Oreochromis niloticus: one gene and its partner. The protein of the gene in region 2 purifies or fractionates together with the protein of the main gene of each other region. This does not show direct contact. Links are inferred from orthologs where the notes say so. Each region holds a gene or a part of one and is shown on either strand. Other genes may lie near its edges.

Region 1 (7,898 bases), on a different chromosome or scaffold from region 2:
TTCCCCGTGTTGTCTGAATCAGGTGTATTTCATCCTCACCTTCCAGGAACAGCAGCCACCTCTTGCTTCCTTTTGACTCCTTGATGTAGTAACTGCACAAGAACAGCAAAACAAAGCAGCGTGAAAGCGCTGATGTATTCACACATTCATGAATGCATTCAAACAGTCTCCACACACTGGGGATGCTTCCTGTTATCCTGAACTGACAGATCTGGCTCTGATCACTAAGCTTCTCTGTAGGAGCCAGGGTACTGCAGACCCGCACATGTCCGGTTGTGTTTTTTCACATAGCGACAGGAAACTCACCATGCTGCTGGCAGCACGCACACTCTCACACTTGATGCGGGTGGTATATCGAAAGATTCATCTCATTCACAGCGATTTAATTCATATTTTGCCCACAATATATTCTAATTTACACCTGGAACAGAGTTTAAAAACTTTGACAATGAGTGGAATTAACTGGTGATTCGCACAGGTGGGAAACTGATTATTTTATTTCGTCCAGTGTGGAAAACCCTACATTTGAAATGCCATAAATCTTTGAACTATCATTAGTTATAATCTTTGTTGTCATTACTCTTAATTTTGCTTTATCGTAAAGTCGCCAGAACAAGGATAAATGCCCCTCTCTCGTCCTCGCTCGCGCCCTCCCTCTCGTGTACGCGCTAATTTGCAGCGTGCATGGCGCTCTCTCTGATCTGATCCTTTGATCCATTTTGGTCACATCCGGAGTGACACGGGAATGGAGCACACGGAACTAAACTAGTAGTAAAACGCAGATCGGATGGTGGGTGTATCTACCCCTCCGTGTCTCAGATTCTTACCAATTAATGACAAAACTGTGGTTTTAAATCACGCCTGAAGGTCATTAAGAAACTATGAAGAATCTGCAGGCCATTCACTTACCCTGCAGGTGACCCGTCGTTGCAAGTCACAGACACGTTCTTCAAAAAGTGCAGCTTCATGTCCTGATCCAGCTTTTGCGCAGAGCACGGATAGAGTGACTGCGCTAAGTTCTTTATCTGCACTACAAAGTTGTCCATGTTGCCCTCCACAGCTGTGAAGTCTAACGGGAAGCTTTCTGCTCCTTCCACCCGCTCCCTGTACGGCGGGGGCGTCTGCTGCTGCTGCACCCTCCGTGTTTGCGCCCGACCGCCGCGCACTCTCCTCGCCTCCACCGGTGCGCTCAGGTGGATGAAGAGCAGCAGCAAGCAGGAGCGCACCGCGGACAGTCCAAATGAGTTTCTCGCCACACCACGGCTCTGCATTTCTAATTATTTCTGGAGAACGTTCCTCGCGTGTGTGCGTGGGCTCTGAAGAAAACACAGCATATCCTATGAGTGGGTAGATCGACAGGAAGTTCTTCGAAAGCGCACGGAGTCTTCAAACAAACGATCTCCTATACCAGCAGTACTGGGTAAAAACAGCTTATGGGTCTCCATGGTGCCCTGAGAGATGGGTATCTGGATTCAAACTCATGCAAAATGCGCGTGCAGTTCCAGTTCATTTCCTTAAATCGCGCGCAGTTCGTCCAGTAAACGGGTTCTTCCGTGCGTAAAAATATCTGAAGTTTCGTCCAGCTCAGTCTCACCAGTGACCTGTTGCCTTTTGGTTCAGGTCTTATAAGCTGCGGATGAAGCGGGAATTTATTTGAGGTCCTCCCCCTCCTCCCCCCGTCCCCCCTGCCTGCCCCCGTGCTTCTCACTCCCGCGGGCCAATCGTTATTATCGTTGGCGGATGCTCTTTGCGGGGCGTGGGGCTCACACCAAGAGCGCGCGTATGCCTGGCACGCCCCCTCAGTCGGTTCACTCATACCCCCGGCCCCTTTGATGTTGTGTCATCATATGACCGCGCTGCCTTTGAAGTGTCTTTGATTGAACATGGTGTGTGAGTAAAAAACGCAGTTGGACACGCCGTTCCGCTGCAGAAGGTCACGCCACTGATGCACATGTTTTGCGGCTTTTTATGCGCTTCAGAATTAAACTGCATTTTCTTTGTGTTTGTTGCTCAAGATAGATAATCAGATAATCTTTTGGGCTATTTCACAACAGAAGATAAGGTCGCTGGAAGTTTTTAAATCATGAGTGTGGTATGTGTAGACACAGCGATAGGGCGAACACACTAAGTCACACTAAAGCATAAATCAACACTTATTACTGACACGTAAAATATTTAAGCTATGCTTGCGGGATGTGAGTTTAAGATTATTGTGTGACAGTTATTAACTCTGTTGCAACTGTTGACTGTATTGAAGACCTTTGACTCATCCTTATTGTAAATGTGAGCCAGCGCTTCATCTGCTCCACTTTTTACTTTTCCTTTACAACCATTTTTTCCAAAACTGACTTCTTATTGTGTCGTTAAACCTCACAGATACATGAACAGAATCCCAAAGCAGTTTGAGAACTGGCACTGGCTGGCCTGGTTGGAGAACTCATCAGTGGTGTCAATGTCATTTTATATGTGACCAATTTAATTTCAAGTGTGCTGGGTCAATAAAAACATTGTATGATTCCCCATTAAGACAATCTTTGTCAGTATGAAGTGGTTTGTGTGTTCTTCTGTCGGAGATCTTGTTTTCCAGCCACTGGAAAAATAGAATAGAATAATTCTGCACATCTAGGTTCAAGAGAAAAGAGATTCTTAATCCCTGAAAGCTTCTTTTTCTAAGAAGATGGTGAAACTTGGATAAAATGAATCATTCGTACAGCCACTGCAATCATGTGATTCATTTTAACCACTTAAAACAGAGGTTAACTCCTGGTGAAGTGAAAGGTTCTCTGAGATTTTCACATCTTGTTAAGCCATCCAGGAGGCCAGACTGGACCTATGGGTGGGACACATGTAGCCCATGAGCCATATGTTTAACACCAGAAAGCTATTTTTGCCCATATTGTTTCTTTTACATCTGCTCATCTTTAAACGTCCCCATTCATTCACCAGATCCACCGTCCTCTGATGTCTAACATTCACACACTGCCTGTAATTTGATTTCGATCTTTGATGGGGTTTTTTATGATGAAAGGAACACTTAAAAAAGGTCTCTCAGCATGTAAAACCCACTGCAGATGCCTTTATAAGTTTGCGCTCTATCCAGACAGTTTTGAAGTTTCAGTCCTGCTGAGCGAGGAAGGAAACTGATTGTTTGTTTGTTTGTTCAGATGGTGGCAATTTCCCACTAGGACTGAGAAGTGCATTCATTTCTGTCTGTCTGTCTCTCTTTCCCAGGTGGACTTTGTCTTTAAATGTTGCTCTTGAAGCAGTCAGTCAATCAGTCAGTTGTTCGGCCTCTTAAGCTCTGGCCTCACACCTCTCCATCTGTTGGCACCACTTGTCATGTTGTTTGTCTCGTCTTATTCCAGCTTTGATCCAATTTGATCCATGCTGAGAAAAAACAGCCTTGATTGTTGTTGCTCAAACTGCATACATACAGTACATTAGGTTTTCCATATGGAGAGCAGATTGACTGTGTGTGACTGTGTTGTGGTCAGTTTACAGACAGGATCAATTTCCTTCTCTCATGAGGCCAGATTGTGTTTTCTTATTATGCTTTTAAGGTCAAGGGAAGAGTAATGATCTTCATATTGTTTTTAGATGCACACTGTACAATACAAGCTGCGGAGGGTTTTTTTTTTCACAGAATGAATAGATAGATTTTTTTTTACATTGACTCTGATGTTGTTAATCCACTCAAATTATTTTTTCTAACACACAAACGGATGTGTAGAAAAGACCTTTCCAAACTTAAGTCTCCCCTTCCACCTAGGTTAATGTAGTGACTGTAAATTCCATGTAATTCACATCATGTTTATAATTCATAAATAATTCAGTTAGCTGGATTTAGACAGACTAGTCAATAACCCTAACCCCTTTGGTTTATTCTGACAAAAGGGAAAGTAAGAGTTGGCATTAATATGATTAATGAGGTCTTATTTCTATGTAAGTGCTCCAGTAAGTTGTTAAGTAAGCCAGTATACACGGTACATAACATGGGATCCAATAATAAAAAAATACAAATTACAATTGTATGCATCTGTTAAATCAGAAATTTAACACTAGATTACACTAGTTTCAAGTAGACAAAAATTATTTCCCCCTGGGAATACAAAATATAGACCTTATAATATCACACTGTCCCAATGGAGCAGTTCAATCTCTAAAAGCAGAGTTGGAGGCAAATCCTTCAGGTATCAGGTTAGCTCCCAGTTTAGGTTCAGGAAACAGACACCCTCCCTACTTTTAGATTCGGCTTCAAACTTTCCTTTTTGATAAAGCTTAGCGTTTGGGATGGATCAGATGAGTCTAAAGCATCTTAGTTATTCTTTTATAGGTTCAGGCTGCTGGGACACTTCCCAAAAATGAGTAGACCATTTCTTCTCTAGTCCACTCTTTTCACTCCTGATGCATTTACATGGCACTATCGCATGGCATTAAATTGTGTCTACCCTCTCCCATAGCATGTGTTGTGTTTCTGTCTCTCTGTGCTCTTTTTGAGACAATGGTTGTTTGAATTGGCACCGTATGAATAAACCCAAACCGAACTGAATTTGGTGTTATAATATTTCACTGTAACGTTTTTTAAAATAAAAGACAATAAACTACTAGCCAGTCTAAACTACAGTAAGGCTTAGTATATGAATAGATAGTACAAGTTGTGTTCTTAGTATTTTATTTCATGTTGTAGCACTTTAAGAGACAAGCAGATGTCTCTTAAGTGCTATTTGACTATTGCAGTGGGACGCTAAAACATTGTGGGGGTTATTTCTTCTTAATTTTTTAAATGTTTGTATAATTAACATTATTTTGTTTGGATAATAACGCTCATAAAGGTGAGACGAAGAAAATCTTAAAAGTTGAACGAACTGCACCTTTAAGTGATGCCGCGACAGAGTCAATAAAGCTTATTCAAACAAACATTGTGACGTCAGGACACGCAATGGCTGCTAGTGGCACAGCTGTAACGGTTCTCACTCCCAATGGGAGAAGGCAAACAGTTAAAGTGGCTCCAAACACGCCGTTACTGCAGGTGAACTGTTATAGAGGAGCGTTTCATCTTTACTTAGGTGGACGGCTTATTGAATTCTGCGCTTTGGTTATAGAACCGGACTAAATTCCTTCCCTCCGAGTTAGCTTGCTGGGCTAACAGTTGTTAGCCAGTGACTGATCAGTTTGTGTTTTCGTGCGGATGAAATCAGATTATTTGGGAGATTTTGTGGCATAACTCGTGTTGTAATATTTTCCGCCTTCAGGTGCTGGAGGAAGTCTGCAAGAAGCACGGATTTAACCCAGAAGATCACGGTTTGAAGTGAGCAAATGAACGTAGCTGTATATCAGTTTTTGTCCCTTCAGATTAAAAGCCTTTCACCTGGATTACATCCAAATACACTTTAATACATAAACAATCGCACTGGACAGTAGCGGAATAGTAATATGTGAAATATCCGTTTATTTATATAGTTAAAGAAGTTAAGCAAGTTAAATGTTGTAAGCGATTTTCACATCTTGTACAACTCTGTTTTGGTTTCAGATCGTGTTTACTTATATTTTAAAAATCGGTGTCACTGCAGGAAAAAAAGAAACAAGACAAATTATGTGTCAAAAAATGAAATCAAATTGAAATTTGATAACTGTTTGTAACTGTTTGTACTGTCCTCAGGCTCATACATCATTCTTCACAGCTGTCCAGCTACTCCACATGAAACATTTAGTCTGATTTAATTGCTCTCTTTCTTCTCCACTGTGAAAATTTTTGGCAGGTTTCAGAGGACTATTGTTGACCTGACGCGGCCATGGAGGTTTGCAAACCTGCCCAACAACGCCAAACTGGAAATGGTGACGAGTACGAGGAAACAAGTTATAGCTGACAGCCAGGTCAGTTCAAACAAAGTGCAACTTGGGGCTCAACGTTTAGTCAGATTTTAATCTCCGTTATGATTTTGCTCTCAAATTGTTGAGAAAACAAAATAATCTTGACCATCTTCTTTGCACAGCTTTCATTTAGAGTGGTGTGTTTTTACTCTCCCTAAAAGTTCAGCTTTTAGTTTAACCCCAACCAGGGTGTCTATAATTCAGCTTTTGGCTACAAAGATCTAATCAAGGAAGTAAATCGTTGAAGGTTTCTTATGGTGAACATGTGAAAGAATATCACTTAATTGGAGCTACCCCAAAGAAGAGTTTGTGTCTACTCCTGACCTCAAACTAGGAATCTTTCGTAGTTGAAGAAAATGCCCAGAAAAAGACACTTTTTAAACTCCAGTATCTACGCAGTGTCTCTTAATCTAGTGAATAATGTGCATATTTTAGAATATTGACCAAATTTATCATGATTACGACTTTTCCTATAAGCAAGCAGCCTTGGTGCATCTATGTATATGTGGGTGTTAGAGAGAGTCAGAAAGGAAGAAAAGTCTCCAAAACCAGTGTTTGGAGACTTTCCTAGCTACGCCATTTTTTATTTTATGTTTTTTCAGATTCATGGTGTGCATGAATCAGAAAAAATGTGGAAACAATTCTTTTTACCTCAAGTCTGATTGCAACACAAAACATGCTCTTAATAAAAAATTATTAAACAAGAGCTCATTTCCAGGATCAGCATTGCCAGAGTCCTTTTTATAGAAGTACCACAACTCGGTATCCTTTTTGAAATGCCTCCAGTCATTTATGTGGGCAGTTATTTGAAACACCAGAGTGAAAAAATATCTGCTTAACTTATTTTAAGTGACTTTGTCTCAGTGAAACTTTGCCAGCCTTTTTAGCCTTGAGTGGCCAAGGTAAACATGTTCAGAACATACTTCTTTACCAGGGTTTTTCCTGTATATGGTAAATGGTAAATGGCCTGTATTTATATAGCGCTTTTTCTGGTCCCTAAGGACCCCAAAGCGCTTTACATATCCAGTCATTCACCCATTCACGCACACATTCACACACAGAAGTGTTTGTGCCCAGCAAAGAGATTTTAGCCTTCCATTAGAGAAAGCTCACCAGGACTTTGATTTTTGACATGTTTTATGTAAGTGGGGTTTAATTAAGTTAAGCTTGAATGGCGCGTTTGTTTTTTAAATAACAGGCGAATGCGTAGACTTCTGTTAAGAAAGGTCACATAGGCTATTTGCCTGGCGTGCATGTTGTTCAATAAATAAAATTAATTTGAGTCCCCTTAGGGCTATTTGTCCCACTCATGATCATGTTTGAATAGCCTTAAGTAGCTTCATGTGTGGGTCAGTCAGCCCCGTGTGTGGGTTTCTTTATTGTCCGTACCTGGAAATGCCTGAATTCTCTGTCACTGCTCTCTCTCTGATTCCTATCCAACAAAACACTTTGTTGTAGCTGAGCTGTAGTTTCCTATGACATCATGGCATCATAATCCATGCTGTAAAATTCACGGCTGGGTTTGATCTGCTGTTTTTGTTCATTTGATGGATGGTTGACTGTTGATACCTGGCAGATTTTATACAGACGCACACACGCAGGCACCTCTGGGGCAGACTGGTTTGTGGGAGTGTTTCGTGTTTGACCGTTGACAGCCAAAGCCCTCGTTTCATCTCTCCCGGTGTGCTGACATGCAGCGTGCTTTCTGTGCCGAACAACACCGTTGCAGAGTAAACAACTCGCAGAGTGACTCAGAGAAAGAGCAACAGAGACTTGCACTCATGTCTGATGTTACTTATTTTCAGGCTGAGGTAGGCCCACATGTGCAGCTTAATCATCTTTGATTATCAAAGAATTTTCTTCCTGGTAAATGTATCAAGACTGATGAGCCAAGAACTTACAAATGACCACCGTGGGGGATTTTCAAAATCAATTCCTTTTCGGCATTTAAGGAGATGTTTGTGAGTCCAACAGCGTGAAGTGCTTGTACTGTAGATTTTATTACTTTTAGCTTCTGTCAAAAGAAA
Region 2 (7,766 bases):
GCAGTGATGAGCTCATTGATTGTTCCATGCAAAAGTTTTATGGCAATATTCATTTTAATGGAGAGAAACAGAATATCGACCAAAAATCCAGAAAAAAACAAAAACACGTTACATAAAATCTGTAAACTTGTCTGGATTCTGGATCCCATGACTGGAATCTGTGTCAACAAATCAACAAATCAATACATTACTGATAGTTCCGATCTCACCTTAAGCACAGCTATCCAAATAATTAATTTCTGCCATTACAACCTCTGGTCTGACCCAGGGCATTGGAAAGTATTATAGTATTAAAATATTAAAATACAATCTTATTTAGATATGACAAAACAAAGCTGGTATTTTTTTAATAGAAAGGTAGAAAAATATCTCACATTTCTCCTTTAAACATTATAAAAAGCTTTTACAAAAACATATTTCTTTCTCCAAATCAGGAAAAACTGATCGTTTGTTTTCCTGCGTGTCGCTTACCAACACAAACCACACAGTTAGTCTTCGTGCAGTTTTTGTTATATGTGGCCTTTCATGTGCTTCTTCAGATTTTCCTGTCGTGAAAATGTTTTACGACAGGCACTACAGGAAAAAGGTTTTTCTCCTGTGTGGACAACCATGTGTCTCCTAAGGTGTGTGTTTCTCTTATAACGTTTCCCACATTCATCACAAGCAAACGGTTTCTTTGTTTTGTCGCACACAACAGCGTGAGCATTCCTGCAAGCGGGTGCATGTCTCATAAGGTGTGCCCTTCGGTAAAATTTTTTATCACAAATATCACAATGAAATGGTTTCTCTCCCGTGTGGAGCACAGTGTGCCTCAGCAGACTTCCCTGTCGTGTGAATCTCACGCCACACTGACCACAGCCAAATGGTTTCACTTCTGCGTGCGCGCTCATGTGCACGGTCAGATCACCTTGACGTTTGAATCTTTTACCACAAGTGCTGCAACCAAATCGCTGTTCTTTAGTGTGAACTATCTTGTGTGCGTTCAGAATTGCCTGTTGGTAGAACTTTTTACCACAAAGACTGCAACTAAACGGTTTAACTCCCGTGTGAACTTTCACATGAGCTGTCAGACCACTCCGATTACGAAATCTTTTACTGCATTCATCACAACCAAATGGTTTCTCTCCTGTGTGAATTGTCATGTGGCTGTTAAGAGATTGCTTTTGCTTAAACTGTTTCCCACACTCAGAACAGCTAACTAGATTTTTACAATCAGGTGCCCTGGTGTGCTTCCAGCTATTGTCAGTACCATCAGTTTCAGTTCCAGAATCTGATAAAGTTGTCTGCCAGTCTTCATCTTCATCATTATCATCATCAGTACTGACTTCACTCTCAAAAGACTCAGAAGCCTTTGTAAGAGGTGAATGAATGTCTGAATCTGGGTTCTTGGCAGGCTGTGGTCCTCCACAGTCGTCTTCATCAGTTTCTGTTTTCATCTGTTTATCTGAGCTGCTGGGTGGAGGCTCTGCCTCGCTATTGTTGTTAGTTTTGCTTTGGTGAAGCTCTAAGAATTGAGGTTTTTCTTCTTCATCTTCGCTTTTTACAGAAATAAATGCCTTTCCCTCCTGACTGTCCCAGAGTTTTTCCTGTTCCTCCTTTATGCGGTGGTGCTCTGGGACCTTCTGCTCCACACTGGGACTCCATTCATGAGGCATCTCTTCTTTAATCAGCTGCTGGACATCTGCACGAATAAAACACAGTAAGCACATTTGTGCTCTCCATTCAGAGCTATTCTGTGTACATATATGTACACAGCCCTGTATTCTCTGTTTAACTGCTGAAGAAAGAGGGAAAAAATAGTCATCAAGGCAAACATTTCAGCTCAGCAGCCACATAAAGTGTGCAGCGTAATTGTGGTAGTGCAATACTAAAGATTTTGGTATGGCTCCGAGAACGAGTAAATACAGGGTCAGTATTGCCGATATTAATATCAATACTGATACTTGTAACACATAATGCAGCTTATTTAGGGGAGTGCAGTGTGTTGGATAGTACCATTGGTTAACATAATAAAACACAGCTTTTTTTTCTCCAAAATAATCAAGATGTGCCTGTCGCTAAAGCACTTTGGTTCAGCTAGTGTTGTTTAAATCTGCTATAGGCTATAAATAAAATTGAAAGATTTGCACCTCTTAGTGCATGTTTGAGCTATACTGAACATATAAGATAGAAACAAAGTATCAAGGCTATCACACTTTTATTGACCCAATACCAATATCAGCGTTGGTACACTCATACAGTACACACACACACACACACACACACCTGTAAATACTGGCACAAATCCATAAAGCGAATGTTGGTGCTTGATTTATAGTTTTTATATTTTACATTTGAGTTACGGAGCAGCTTATTCAGCCATTTCATCTTAAAGGTGGAAACGCTGTTTGTTCGGTGAGGTTGAACTGAGATCACCCTGCTGTGTGCGCGCCGTAAACCGTCCGGGTGCTGCGCTGCAGTTTCCGTTTTGGAACATTTGTGAACCGAGTCAGATTAACAGAGGACAGTAAGACTTGTTGCTGTGGAAATCTCAGCCACCCCTACAACAGGTTAGCATCACGCCAGCAGTTTGCTCCATAAAATCAAACATCCGTGATTTCTCTCACCTGCGCTTCGGTTTATTTCGTCCTGCAGCTTTAGGGCTCCGAGCAGTTGCATCTCCGGCTTTTCTTCAGGATTTTGATCGCTGTGCTGTCGAAGATCATCCGCTTCGTTCATGCCGACCGCTTTTTCTGCTCTTCTTTAGTACAAATTAGGCCGTTTCTCAGGGTGAAGTTTGGCATGTTTGTTGGTACTGAGCAATGCCCCAGTGGTTACCGTGCGTAATTGTAGCTCAGTCAGTTTTTGTGTTATCCTGCAACAAGGAACTGAAACTGTACAACAGAGGAAAATACCAAAAGTTGTCTTGTCAAAATAAATAAATACAAATAAAAACTGATATATTCACTTTAAAAAAAAAAATCCAGTTTTTCATAATCTTAATTAGATTATTTTTTGAAAAGTCCGGCAACACTTTTCATTAAAAGAGAAAAGGAAAAGCTCTTTATTCTGAATTAACACTGTAAAAGAGCTTCTAGACTTGAAAGATTGATTTCATTATGTGTATTCACATTTCTCTTTGTGTTGGGGAGATGAGCCGATGAACATCCTGCTTTTATTAAGAATGAAGTTCAGCTACTTTCGGCTGCTCGCCCACAGCTGCTCGCTCCGCATGTTTGATTTCTCTGATTTTTATGCCAGATGCTGTGAAGCAACCGCCCCCAAGGGAATGGTGTCTCATAATTTATAATCCTAAAGGCTGCCACAACAGCATCAATGAAACCAAATTATTGCACACATTAGATTAATTTTGATCGTTTTGTTACAACTCACAATCTTCATCCATAAAGCACATTCCAGAATCAAAAACATAACAAGCAGAATTTATAACAACAGTGTGACATTCATAAGTGTAACAAATTGTTCCTCTACACGTGGCTGAGCTATGAGGTCTGCTGACAGAGCATAAGCCACAAGGTTCCTCAGATAAATGAGTTCCTCATCAGTCTTGTAGGGATTTAGTGATAACACCTGTTCTCTCATTCTAAGCTGTTTCTGTCTTTTCTGTGGCCTCACAAATATTCTGCATATGCAAAGTACATAATGTCACGCAGGTACTGTGGTTTGTTGATGTTCCCTTGATGTTGAGGGAACATCTAAGACCTATATGTGTCACTTTAACTTCATAATGAAGACATCCACATTTAAACAGGGGGTAGGTACTTAAAACAAGCCAAAACAATAATAAATGAACAGCGTGTAAAACTACGGGTATTGTTATAATGGGAACTTTTTTGGATTTAGATTATAGACAATACATGTCAAATACGAGGCTCAGTGCCAGGAATCATCAAATTAATTAAAAACACATTGATTTTTTAAAAATTAATTTATTTGAATAAATGCTGTTTCTTCTGTAGTGATGGTCTGGAAAGTTTAAAACATTTTCATATCTAGATAAGTGTATCACATTTAAAATACAGCTGTTTTACATACATGAATGAGAGAGATTTGGTATCATAAATTATTATACCCAAATACAGCTAGTGTGAGGAAGTGTAAGAGTGACCACAATGATGGTTTAAAATGTACAAAACGCTGCAGAAAGTACAGTAAGTAACATAAAATCACCCTCCTTTGAACCTACAAATAAAAAAATAACTATAAGTAACTGTTTGAGACATAAAACAGCAAAACCTAAGCAGAATATAAATTGACTGATTACTGACTACTCAGTCCATCACATCTCCTTTAAATGCTTAATTACATTCCTGTCCCTTTAAACACTGTACAAAAGTTTTAAAAGCCAGAAATTCCATATTTTCATACCATAGTGTTATAGAGTTTAGGGTTTGGGCTACTTTTCATCATCATAGACCAGACGGTAGTTTTATCCATCCCACATGTTAAAACAATGCCTCATATTTTATGATAGTGATTTTTTTATGAAAAATGTTAGTTATTGTTAAGAATTCAGAAAGCAGAATAAAATTAAGATAATGTTGTGCACTTACAAGGAGGGCTCAACAATGCTGTAGTGAGCCTCTGAACATCTCTGAAAATGTTCAGTGTGAAAGGAATATTTTGTATCCCATCTTTCAGCATATTTAATACTAAAAAGGATCTGACTCGGGGGGGCTCAGGTGGGAGGCAGTAACTGACGGGAGAAAAAGAAAGAATGATAAAAGTGGAACCCTTGTTTCTAGCTTAGTTTCTTTGTTTCGACCGTGGTCGCTCCGCTGTGGGATCGATGGGGGCGCTAATGTGTGCAACACCCGGTGTTTGAGTTGCGGGATGGAGTTTCGCTGACATACACACACACACACACATATACATACACAGCAGCGCTACGGGGTATTTGTTTTGACCCTGTCTGTCCACTAACAAAGCCAAATCTACCGGGCGCACCTACCCGAGCAGCATGGCCGATAATATTGTAAGTACAGCGGAGGATGGGCTCCGGCTAACGTTAGCTAGCCTGTTAGCTGGACTCCTGAATGATGAGGCAGCAGAATTAGCTTGGCTAGCATTAGCCAGCTAACATGAGCTAAGAGTGACCAGGGCCTGTTTAGCTAGCCGGCTAATATGATAGCTAGTAGGCTAGCTGACGACATCCGAATGAAAAGAGTCATTGTTGGCTAACGGGAGAGCGACAATAACGGCCGGCTTAAAATGACTGGCATATTCTTTCATCTCTTTAGCATGACAGTAACACGAATAGCTCGGTAACGATGGGAGCTGTGATGTTGCACATTCACCACGAAAGTGATATTTAGTTAGTCTGTGAATGAGCCAGTACACACTGACAGCTTTCCAGAGTAGTTCAATGTCAACATCGTCATGTTGCAGCTAAAAACTAGAGGTTGATGAGCTGACGTTAACCCGACTTTTCTTTCTGCACTGTCACGGTTGTCATAATACCCCGACACTGACACCGGAGGGGGGCGGAAAGGGGGGGGGGCTGCGTCCTGGTTTTGACTGACAGGTGTTTGAAATGCTACAATGGATTCGGGCTTGTACTGTAACGACTGAATTGTGGGTTTATTTCTGTCTCTCCTTTAGATCATCAGGGTGCAGTCCCCAGAAGGGATGAAAAAAATTCCTTCTACAAAGAGGGAGACAGCTGCTGCTTTTTTAAAGAAGGTAATGTGTTAAATATAACAGCACTCAAGCATCTTGTTTTCTTCTCTACTCTAAGGGCTGGTTTCCAGCCTCAGGATTTATCAGTTTGGCCTGGCACTCCAGTATAAGGGGGTCAGTTCAGCCTTTAAATGAAGGTGGTGGCTGACTTCTGAACAATGCAGGATTTTAATTAGTCATGGCTGCTGCTGTCCTCTTCCCTAAGCCTCCCCTTCTGCCTTTTTATAAGAATCCCTGCTGACAAACTCACCGAATAGCTAAGAAAACAGTTTAGTTAAAGACTTCTAAACACATTATAGTTTTAATTCAACTGTAGATAGTATGCTTTATTTGATGTTTGCATAAGATAATGGCAGTAATCTGTGAATAGTTGTCCAGCAGTTACAAACACAATAACATCTAAGCCTGGGCCATCATATTCTGTTCTGCTTATGACCTCCTTGGGTTTCCGAAGGCATGGGAGAAGATGAGGGAGAGTGAGCTCAAAACAGTTTTTTCAGATGTAAAGGAGGGGAAACAGGTATTTTCTGTAGCTTGTGTTTCCATAAACTGCCAAGCATCAGCACTCCTTCACCTCAAGGCTTTGTCAGCTCATCGTCATTATTTATTTTATGGAAGTAGTAACACCGTGTCCTCATACAGTTGAAAAGTCACAAAATTCGGAGTACCATCCTAATCTGCACGCCCTCCCTCACTTCATCTCCAGTTCACAAAGATTACCCATGTTTGCTGCCTTCAGGGTACAGTGGTGCCACATTGTTTTAAATTGCTATGCATTGTAAAATTAAGCAAGAATAATAGGCATAAAATAAAATGGTCACAGTTTTCTGGCTGGAAGAATGAAAGGCTATCTTAAACCCCTAAAAGACTTTGATCCAATTGAAATCTGGGAAAAAACAACTTTTTGTTTTGACCTTTTGGTGATACCCTGTTTCAAAAGCGGAGATTATCTGCTCTCTCATTGGTTATTAGACCCATCACATGCAGTTACTTGTGGCCAAAACAGCAGGATTGTTGCTCTTGATGCTTCAAAACAGGTCTTTTTAAACCAAAGGGTGATGATATGTTAGTCATGTTAATACTGTCAATCATAAGGATGTACTGATATATGATCCAAATATAGTCATTAGCTGATATTGGCATATCAGCAAGTAAGATGGCATTTATCCACATCAGTAGCTGATATTTATCTGTTGTGTCACATCAGTCGTGTGCTGGCAAAAAAGCAAAGAATTTCCCACTCTCTGCTTTCCTCCACACCAGAACTGGATCCAAGCCTTCTGTACTTTATTTCCACAGTACACTGAAAACCTGTGCAGGCCTCTTATGTTTTTTTCACAAAGAAAACTGATTAGAAAATGTTTTATCTTTAAATCAGTACAGGAGTGTTATGTGTTGTTGTGGGCTTTGTTTTGTTTTTTTTCCTCTTCTTGTGCCTGTACATACATGAAGCTGTGTAGGAAGTAACAGAGCAGGTCGGTCCTTTGTGGACTGCACAAGGAAATATGTGTTCAGGGAGTGTGTTAGATGTTTTAGAGTCCAGGCATTGCTTCATATCACAGAAGGCACAGATAAAAGTGTGTAATCTGATTTTTTATAGGACTTGAATTTTACTGAAGGCCTGTTAATAATTTAATCCACTTCCCCAAATCTACTGCATAAAATACAGGAAATTCTTGCACCCATTTACAGCTGTCTGGTAATGTTGAACCCAACATTTGCACCAGTGCTGAATCACTGCTGAGCTGGACTCACATCAGATTTGGACAACTCCTAATCTGATGTCAGTCCAACTCTGCAGAACTGTGAACGCCCTTTGGTGTTTCAAGAAGTTTGGCTGACACAAACAGGCTTCAGAGATGTGAATTTGAAAACCTGCAAACATGAACTGTAAGTTAAAAATTTAAATCTAAAGACCTTCTTTACCAAAAAGGACAGAAGCCGGTGAAATGACAATAAAAAATGAAGTGATCTGCTTGATTTGTAAAATATCAGGTGTTCAGGTGAGAAGTATCAGCAAAACAAAGATAGAAAGTTTTAGCAAATTGACAACAAACATGGTAAAATACAATGTAAGTAAGTAAGAA

Evidence for each region. The genes of interacting proteins can lie anywhere in the genome.
Region 1: the proteins of nploc4 (region 2) and aspscr1 purify together in Homo sapiens (affinity purification with mass spectrometry; 3 studies listed by BioGRID and IntAct, with this or other methods). This does not show direct contact. The link is inferred for Oreochromis niloticus from reciprocal best matches to the Homo sapiens genes NPLOC4 and ASPSCR1.

The regions. Positions count from the first base shown.
Region 1 is NC_031971.2:32,711,755-32,719,652, reverse strand, and holds the start of aspscr1 (tether containing UBX domain for GLUT4), read left to right. Parts: upstream 1-4,891; 5' UTR 4,892-4,939; coding exon 4,940-5,029; intron 5,030-5,252; coding exon 5,253-5,308; intron 5,309-5,759; coding exon 5,760-5,874; intron 5,875-7,898. Other genes in the region: inactive palmitoleoyl-protein carboxylesterase notum1b, read right to left, coding at 40-92, 910-1,271. UniProt on the Homo sapiens protein: Tethering protein that sequesters GLUT4-containing vesicles in the cytoplasm in the absence of insulin. Modulates the amount of GLUT4 that is available at the cell surface. Enhances VCP methylation catalyzed by VCPKMT.
Region 2 is NC_031973.2:3,598,353-3,606,118, reverse strand, and holds the start of nploc4 (nuclear protein localization protein 4 homolog), read left to right. Parts: upstream 1-4,764; 5' UTR 4,765-4,960; coding exon 4,961-4,975; intron 4,976-5,601; coding exon 5,602-5,682; intron 5,683-7,766. Other genes in the region: oocyte zinc finger protein XlCOF6.1, read right to left, coding at 510-1,681, 2,607-2,718. UniProt on the Homo sapiens protein: The ternary complex containing UFD1, VCP and NPLOC4 binds ubiquitinated proteins and is necessary for the export of misfolded proteins from the ER to the cytoplasm, where they are degraded by the proteasome.